Linked DNA regions of Xenopus tropicalis. The protein of the gene in region 1 purifies or fractionates together with the protein of each later gene. This does not show direct contact. Links are inferred from orthologs where the notes say so. Each region holds a gene or a part of one and is shown in the gene's direction. Other genes may lie near its edges. The genes, in order: slx4ip and slx4.

Region 1 (4,485 bases):
AAGTTATGTGTAGGTTATTTGGCCTTTTTCGCTGTGTTTTTTTCTACAGCATATCCAGTTATGGCAGGCTCTGGTTCTAGAGTGTCTTCTCTTTCAGGCTGGAATATTGGGTTTGACTTAATATTATACCATCCCCAATGTACAAGTCCAAGACCTGTTCCCATAACAATTAAAACTTTGTAGTTCTTCCAAAGGTTTCCTAGCCCCATACCTCAGATTATCTAAATAAAAGAAAGACATAAAAAATAGGAAATATGTCTGTCACAGAAAAAAACCCTAAACATTATGCTTTATGAGTAGGCAAGATCAGCAGGAAGACTGCATGCAGGTTTCATGGGCACTCCCTGATCTCTCGAAGTTCTTTAAGCTGAGGACAGTATCAGCATGCACTAAAAAGTCTACAGAAAATCAGAACCGGCACACATGAGACTAAGGAAAACACACCGAAATATAATGCACAGTTTCCTTTAACACATTTAAGCACATGTCTTGTGGCAGCTCTGAGTTTTATGCAGTTTACAGACTTATTAACCAGTCAGCAACATCATTCTGTGCTACTACTGTTCTATCCCTGTCACATTTATACGAGAACATTCATTGTACAAGGATGTCTTTCTCAGTCATTCCTTGAAAACATTGCACATAACGACAATATAGTTGTATAACTAACTTATAAGACAAGGAAATATACAACAACTGGGAGGTGCCAAAATTTTAGGCCGCTCGGGGCTAGTGCTCCTGTTAGGAGAAAACTGCACTGGCTTTCCCCAGACGAAGGAAAGCAGACAATTCACTCCATATGCTCCCAGCCTTATAGTGGTAGTTCACCTACAAGTTACCTTTTACTAAGATGGTCGGTCATTTATTAGAAAGTTTTGTTCTTTTTTTTTTTTTTTATTTCTTATAGTTTTTAAATGATTTGTTTCTTTATTCTGATTCTTCCCGCTTTCAAATAGGGGTCACACTGACAACAGCAGACAAGAAACTTTGTATATTTATTACTTATTTTTTTTCAAGTCACTGGTTGCTAGAGTAATGTGGACCTTAGCAACCAAATAGTTTTTGAAGTTAAATTGATACTGAACTCTTCCTATAACTGAGACACCAACTAACCCCTTGTCATTAGGGTAATAATGATCAACTCCAGGCATTTTGGATACCTTATTTTATGTTAAGGTGCATATGTTTTTTCCAGAAGGCTCTTCTATTTACATTCCATTTACAGATTGGTATTTTATAAATAAATGTTAATAATAGTAATAATACATGACGACAGCCATTCATATGTTCAAATAACAACAAAGCAGTAAAGTTGCGTTTTAAGAGCCCTTATTTGGTCCTCTTGTGAAAAAAGCATGCTATACACTGTATTATTAAACAAAGTATACTTTTTATTGTTATATTGGTTTATATAGTCTCCCTTTACGACTATTACTTAGTTCCTGGTTCCTGAAAGCATGCCTAATACACACACAGACTCATGCAACCCACATATAAACCAAAGCACAGAGAACCCAATAAATGAAAGCCATTTAGCCACCACTCACCAGCAGTCTCTTTATACTACCAATAAGGATAAAGACTGTCCCAAGCGAGGACACAAGGTCATGCCAGCAAACAGGTTGGGCAGCGAAGCCACTCACTAGGGCGCAGCTTGATGACGTCACGCCCCCTGACGCAGATGTAACTTTTAGGATAACAAATTAATAACGCTACTCCGGGAATTTGCCCCGTTAACGCAATGCATACCAATATCTAAAAACATGTCGGTAATTTCAACTTGGCATAGTGCGTCACGTGGTATTTTTTTAACGTCAAGCCATTTGTCATTAGGTATAAGTCGCTGTAACAGAAGGCGCTGGTGGGGGGGGTGTAGCCATGGAAACGTTGACGCGCTGGGATTCCCGTGTTTTCAAAGACGGATTTACTGTAGACCGTTTGTGCATTCCGATTAAATCGAAACGAAGGCCTACTATGTTTTCCTGAAACTCGTAAATAATCGATTGGTCGTAACGAGGACTTTTGCCTCTTTCCGGCTACCGTAGCGTCCATCATTGAATGGGGAAGGCGCTGCTGCTTTGCCCATACTAAGTATTTCCCCCCTAGGTATTAGCGCGGTTTCTTGTTGCTGCTTCGCAGTCTCCAGCTCATGGGACCGTGGGGGATGTAGGCAAGAGAGGGATTAAAGGCATTTGTCTCTAAGGTAAAGGCGGCAAAATATTGTCTAAACATAACGATTAGGCATATGTGCAACCTCTAGTGGCCTTCTATTGCTGTACTACTGTTCCCATAAGCCCCTTTCAGCAGAGTTCAGTACTACTTCAGCAAAAGGACCCAGCGAGTTATATAGTGAATGCACTATTGTAAAATATAAGTCATAAAGGAGTTCCATGACCATATATAATCACTGGAGCATATTCAGCAGCTGATTTGTGTGGACCATTTAGGCAGATCTGGGGAGAAAACCTGCCTCTTAATTGTTTAATGTAACTGTAAATTAAGTATTTATTATTAAAACTACCCCCTGTTCATTTACTGTTCTGCTGTACAGTTCTGCCTACATAAGTGCTATATAAATAAAAATACAGTGATTTTAAGTTGTTGCACTGCCACCTAGTGGCAGCTTTATAACTATTAGTGCAATGTGCATCAAACATGATGTATTTATTTTTTTTAAATTTTGATTAAAGGCAACAAATACATTTTAAAAAGCTAGTGTTTTTTGTAGTGGTTGACGTAAGCTTAATATGTTGAAAGGAGTGTATGCGCTTCACTGTAATAATAAAGGCCCACCCACAGTCACATAAAGCCTCACCCATTGGCACACCAACCAACATGACTATTGTTGCATTTTCTTTAAAAGGGATATAATGGGTAAAAAACAAGAATGTGCCAGTGCATTATACTCCTCCAAATACTGAAGAAATATACTTAAAAAAAATATGTGATTGTGCTGATTTATTGAAAATTTCCCCAAAAAACTTTCTAGTCCCACCCATCTGTTGTTTCACTAGCCACTGGCTACTTTCTCAGGCTGTGCAGGGGAGCTGACAGTACCGCACTGTGCAATAGGAACCAATCAGCAGCTAGGTGGACCTAATAGGGAACCAGGGTTGGACTGGGCCGCACAGACATCGAGAAAAATCCCGGTGGGCCCGACCCTTGCCGGCGCTTCCCCTGCCTGACTGGTCCTCCCCTAATGCATTAAATTTCCGCCTGCTCAGGGGAGGACATCGGGGGGGTTTGGGGAAGCGGACGGCGGGGGCACTTGCAGGGCCCCTGGGACAGGAGCACCCCCCTGTAGGGAACTGACATTTGTCTTTCCTTGTGTGACGTTAGTGCAGCTATTGGTTATTCCCCTCCTACTGTGCTTCTGGCAGGAACTGTTAGAACATGCCCACATTTTCATTTGAACCACGGACACGAAATTTAAAAGATCATATAGGGAGCTCCAATAACAGGGCTTATTTTTAAAGATAATAATTTTTAGCTGCCCCGTATATTGTTTGCCTACAGGAATAGGGGGTGGGCTTTAAAACTCCTTTAAAAGCAAAGTTTTTTTTAAATTGAAAGTTGGACTGAGGATGTAGCCAGTACTTCATGACCCAGTGACCATGACAGCCCTAGCAGTTCCTTGCACTATACATGTTGCATTGTTTTTTTTTGTTTTTTATTTTGCTTTTAATACCTGAGGTGAGGGTGTTCACTGATAACGCTGGTATGTAATAATTACCCCTGTGTATAGTCACTCAGCAGCTTTGTTTATTTCATAACAAGTTATGTCATGGAACAGTGGCCTCAGCAATTTATGATACCACAGCCCCAGCAATATTTAATACTTTATTTTTTTTATCCCGTGTATTAGCACTGACTATCGGATTATAGTACAGAAGTTATCAGTGTTCCCTGCAATCATGCTCCAACCTGTTTATCAGATAAAAATATTCTGAACTTTCGCCACTCGGCAAGATCATCACATTCTGTGTGTTTTTAGTCTTAATTACAATTGAGCAATTCCGAATTCAGCATTTTTATTTTTCAATGTGAATTGGAGAAGAGTTTTGGGAAAGTGTGAAAGTAACAATACAGAATGTCAAGACAGGATGATTCTGGCTGATTCATGTTGTAATAAATCTGTAATTTCCCCAGGAGCATGTTGCTAGTGCAATTTTATAGACTCCTGACCAAGCTTTTTTTTTTAAATGAGTATTTATGTTTTTATGACCCCACCTGATGTTGCCTTGCGCAATTGCTAGTACTTGTACAGAGATCAGGAGAGCATTGCACTCTTCATAATATGTTCCTTTGATTCATGTGATTTTTCTGCAAACCTGAAGAAGAATATTTTTCTCACAGAAGCACATTTGGCCCCGTAATTGGTATTTATTGGAACTACCATACTGATTTCATCTTCTAATTGAAAGCTATAGGTTTTGAAACAAAACAAAAAACTCAAGCACTAGGGAACAAAAAACAAAATATCTG
Region 2 (3,823 bases), on another chromosome or scaffold:
TTCACTGAACTCTGCTCCAAACTCCTTAAAAGAGTGAAAAAGAACAAGCCAACAGAGCAGGGTGTCCCAAAGACCAGCACCACAGCCAAAAGCAGGTTAAAAAGAAGCAAACCATCCAGCAAGAAGCAGGTTGACAATGAGGGTGCTAAGGTGGCAGAAGAGAGCATTGCAGCAAAAGGGGACCTTGAGAAGGCCGTGGCACAGGCAGACCAATGTGACAGCAGTGATACAGAGAGAAAAAGAAAACCCAAGACCCATCTATCTAATGTTTCAATTGGACCATCACAGACAGGTATGGGATGTAAGAAAAGCAAGCTTAAACATTGACTCTGTCATTTTTTAAATTTTTTAGTATTACTTTATGTGTGACCCGTTCATTGTTGTTCAGGTGAAAATGAACCCCCAGCCCACGCAGAGCCAGTTAGACCCCAGGCACAGCCCCGTACAAAGGATCTGGTCTTGGAACGGATGCAGCAGTTTAAGAGGGCCTGTCCTAACCGTATGAAAATAAATAGTGCAGAACCATGTGACCTTAATGGTGAGTGACATTCTTAAACATAGTCACCTAGACACAAACCAAGGAGCATATTTATTATAGTGTGTAAGCCAACGTCACCGGTGATGTTGCCAATAGCAGCCAATCAGCAATTAGATTTGAATGGTCACCACAAGTTAGAAAACAAAAGAAAATATCTGATTGGTTGCTATGGGCAACATTACTGGTGATGTTTAATTACACACTATAATAAATACACCCCTTAGTATTTTCTTCAATTCACTGTCTCTCCCTTCTAATTTATCATTGCTGCCTTCAGTGAATGACCAGCTGCAAAGTGACAGCGCTTTAGCTGCAGCTCTGCAAATGGACATCAGGGAGCAACAGAAAAGCCTGGAAGATGTAGGACTCTTCTTCTGCCAACTCTGCCAAAAAGACCTGACCGCTATGAATTCTGTAATAAGAGAGCAGCACGTCAACAGGTATGTCTGTGGCTCTTCCTGTAGATAGAACAGTTTTAATGAATATTTTCTGTAGCTTCATTAGTCCCTTTGCCTTACAGGTGCTTGGATCAGAGTGAGAGTTTAGGGGAAGCATCCGGGCCCACCATTCCAAGCTGTCCTTTGTGCGGAAAGCCGTTCAATTCAGAAAAGAGCCGAGCCTCTCACCTGAAGCGTTGTGCTGCCCAGTTGGAAGTACCTGCACATACCTTACTGCAGGCAGTCCAGAGGCAAACAACCGAGTCAGTCACAGAGGCAGCAACCTGGTGAGTTTGGCACAACACTGATGTTCAATGTTTTCACCACATAATTATTTATTATAGACATTAGATTACATCCTAACTGCCAGCTACTTCTGTGTCGGTTCATTTGAATTTCCCTAACTGCTCTTAGGATCAATTATCATGGAAATGCACACTTTTAAATGGTGCATAATACTTATTTCAGTTATCAGGGTAACTTATTTAATATAGGGATGCCCCCTTTAAGCTACCAGCCTGGAGCTGCTGCACCCAGACACTGTGTAATAAGCACTTACAGCTAGAGTGGATTACATATAGGTTTTAGACAAATGCTGAAATCTGTCTACAACCCCAGGTTTACAGCATTGATGGTTTCTTCCTGTTGGTAGGGAATAAACTTCCATTTATTTTGCTACCAAAAGTATATGGCAGTTTGCTAACTTGTACCCTCTCTGTAAGAATTCAAATTGTCATCTGCTGTAGTGTTGTTTCGGCCAAGGCCAAGCGGAAAGCAGGACCCAAGAAAAAGGAGCCCCCCAAAAAGAAGAAAATGGTACAACCAAACTCAGAAGTAGAAGACCTACTAGTTGCCATGGCATTGTCACGCTCCCTGCAGGAGGATCCAACAACTCCAATGTGTGAAATAGCTCAGAAGGCAGTGCCTGCTACTAAGAGCTCTGTTCCAGGTATAGCGTAGTGGGGATTCTTCCACCTTGTTATATCAGGAAAAAATTGCTATTGTTCATGTATATGTGTTGTTGATTTCTTAGATGCCACAGTTGTGTTGCTACTTGAGATGGCGGTTGACTGCAATAAGGGCGGGTTATCCATAGTTATTTGTTGGTTAATTTCATGTTTGCTCTCTGATGCCAGACCCTAATCTGCAGCATGCTGACCCTTTTATTGCTTTTTGTGTCAGAAAAGAAAAGTCGCAAAAAACAAAAGAACGCTCCTCCTCCTCTGTTATTGGTTCAAGCCCCTGAGGCTGCCTTCCAGAGACTGCAGCAAAGAGTGGCGATTCTCCTGAGTGAAGAGCTTGAGCTTATTAGTAACACAGCTTTGCCCCAAAGCTGGTTATCCAGTATAGCGGAGAAAGAAAAGCATGCTTGGTGGAGGCCATTGCAGGACAAGCAGATATGTACTCTGTGGGAAGGCAGCAACATGATGGACAATAGAGATCTTCTGGGCTATTACATCCAGGAGCTGAACCCCCCTATAACTCCATGGAAGCCTCCAGCACAGGTAGAAGCAATACTACAGTGCTCGCTCCAAAGCTTCACAGTGACAGCATTATTTATTATACTTTCCTGCTTGGCTCTTTGATCTGTGCCATGCCATAGTTTAGGTGGGACTGCGCAGTGCAGCTGATCAAAGAACCAACACAATTCAGCAGGTGTTCAAAACACTGAAACTTATATCATCAAAGATACAAAATAGGAACCTATGTTATACAGTATTTTTATTTAATATTTTTATTTAATATTATAGCAAACATGATACCCTGAAAGCTGTTCATAGTTTGATGGCATATACTGGTAAATTGTGTAGAATGTAAAACAAGACACTTAGACCCTGTCGCTCTCTCGCCCAGCACAAGCTTTACAATTCACAGCCACGTACAGTGACACCTGTGCATCTGGCAGCAACCCCTCCATGCTCAGTCTCAAGTGCCAAGCAACAATCTACTGAAACCTGCAGCCAAGATGGGCATCTTCTGTCCCACAGTCAGAAGGATAGGCAGGCATTACTGGATCTTGCAGAGCTAGCAGGAGAGGGCATGACACTGACCCAGTGGAAGCTCGGTACCAGCCATGAAGTGGACAACAGAGGTAATCTTTGATAGGTAAAATCTGACCACACCCTTAAGTGTAGTTTGCAGTCATTTACTGGTGCTTTGTTCTCATAGGAAGAGAATCTGTGAGCAGTGTCACAGCCAGTGGATTTGTCCCCTCACTTCAGGAAGAGACCTGTAAGCAGAGTGACCACCCACAGCTCTCCGTAAGCATTCATTGGCTCTCCTGCCTTTATGGTTCTGGAAAGAATGGTTGCAATAAAGAACTGGTAAAAATAGGAGGTGGTGAACTGGGGCATAGCACTCGTTGCTGGGAGTTAGAGCATAAATAGAAAATAAACAGAAAAGCTCAACAGAGTGAAAAAGTGCACATAATGGTTTTTGAAAAGCCTTCCTAGTAGGCCCAGACTGGCAATCTGTGGATTCTGGCAAATGCCAGAGGGGCTGCTGTAAGATGCCATAGACAGTCATTGTTTATTGGGCCAGGGCCTATTTTGACTTTCAGCCTAGACCTGCTTCCTAGGTCAGAAATCTTGGCCTGTGGTCAACATTTATACCGTGTAATATACTACGATTTGATATGAAACACTCAGATAAGGCTCCTCAGTTTCTGTGACTCTTGGGGTACTATCGGCTGCACCCAAGAACCTTCGTTACCTGCATATGAACTCTGGGGTTATTTATATGAATTGTATGACCATAAAATCATAGAACAGTGGGTTACTAAGTACTGTACCTCAGTCTGTTTACAGTAATTATATATCTCTGTAAAGTATTCAGCAGATGAAATAGG

Evidence for each region.
Region 2: the proteins of slx4ip (region 1) and slx4 purify together in Homo sapiens (affinity purification with mass spectrometry; 6 studies listed by BioGRID and IntAct, with this or other methods). This does not show direct contact. The link is inferred for Xenopus tropicalis from reciprocal best matches to the Homo sapiens genes SLX4IP and SLX4.

The regions. Positions count from the first base shown.
Region 1 is NC_030681.2:26,761,349-26,765,833, forward strand, and holds the start of slx4ip (protein SLX4IP), read left to right. Parts: upstream 1-1,606; 5' UTR 1,607-1,683; intron 1,684-2,101; exon of another isoform or gene 2,102-2,203; intron 2,204-4,485.
Region 2 is NC_030685.2:20,680,137-20,683,959, forward strand, and holds part of slx4 (structure-specific endonuclease subunit SLX4), read left to right. Parts: coding exon 1-292; intron 293-388; coding exon 389-538; intron 539-815; coding exon 816-978; intron 979-1,058; coding exon 1,059-1,262; intron 1,263-1,721; coding exon 1,722-1,924; intron 1,925-2,157; coding exon 2,158-2,480; intron 2,481-2,829; coding exon 2,830-3,067; intron 3,068-3,144; coding exon 3,145-3,236; intron 3,237-3,823. UniProt on the Homo sapiens protein: Regulatory subunit that interacts with and increases the activity of different structure-specific endonucleases.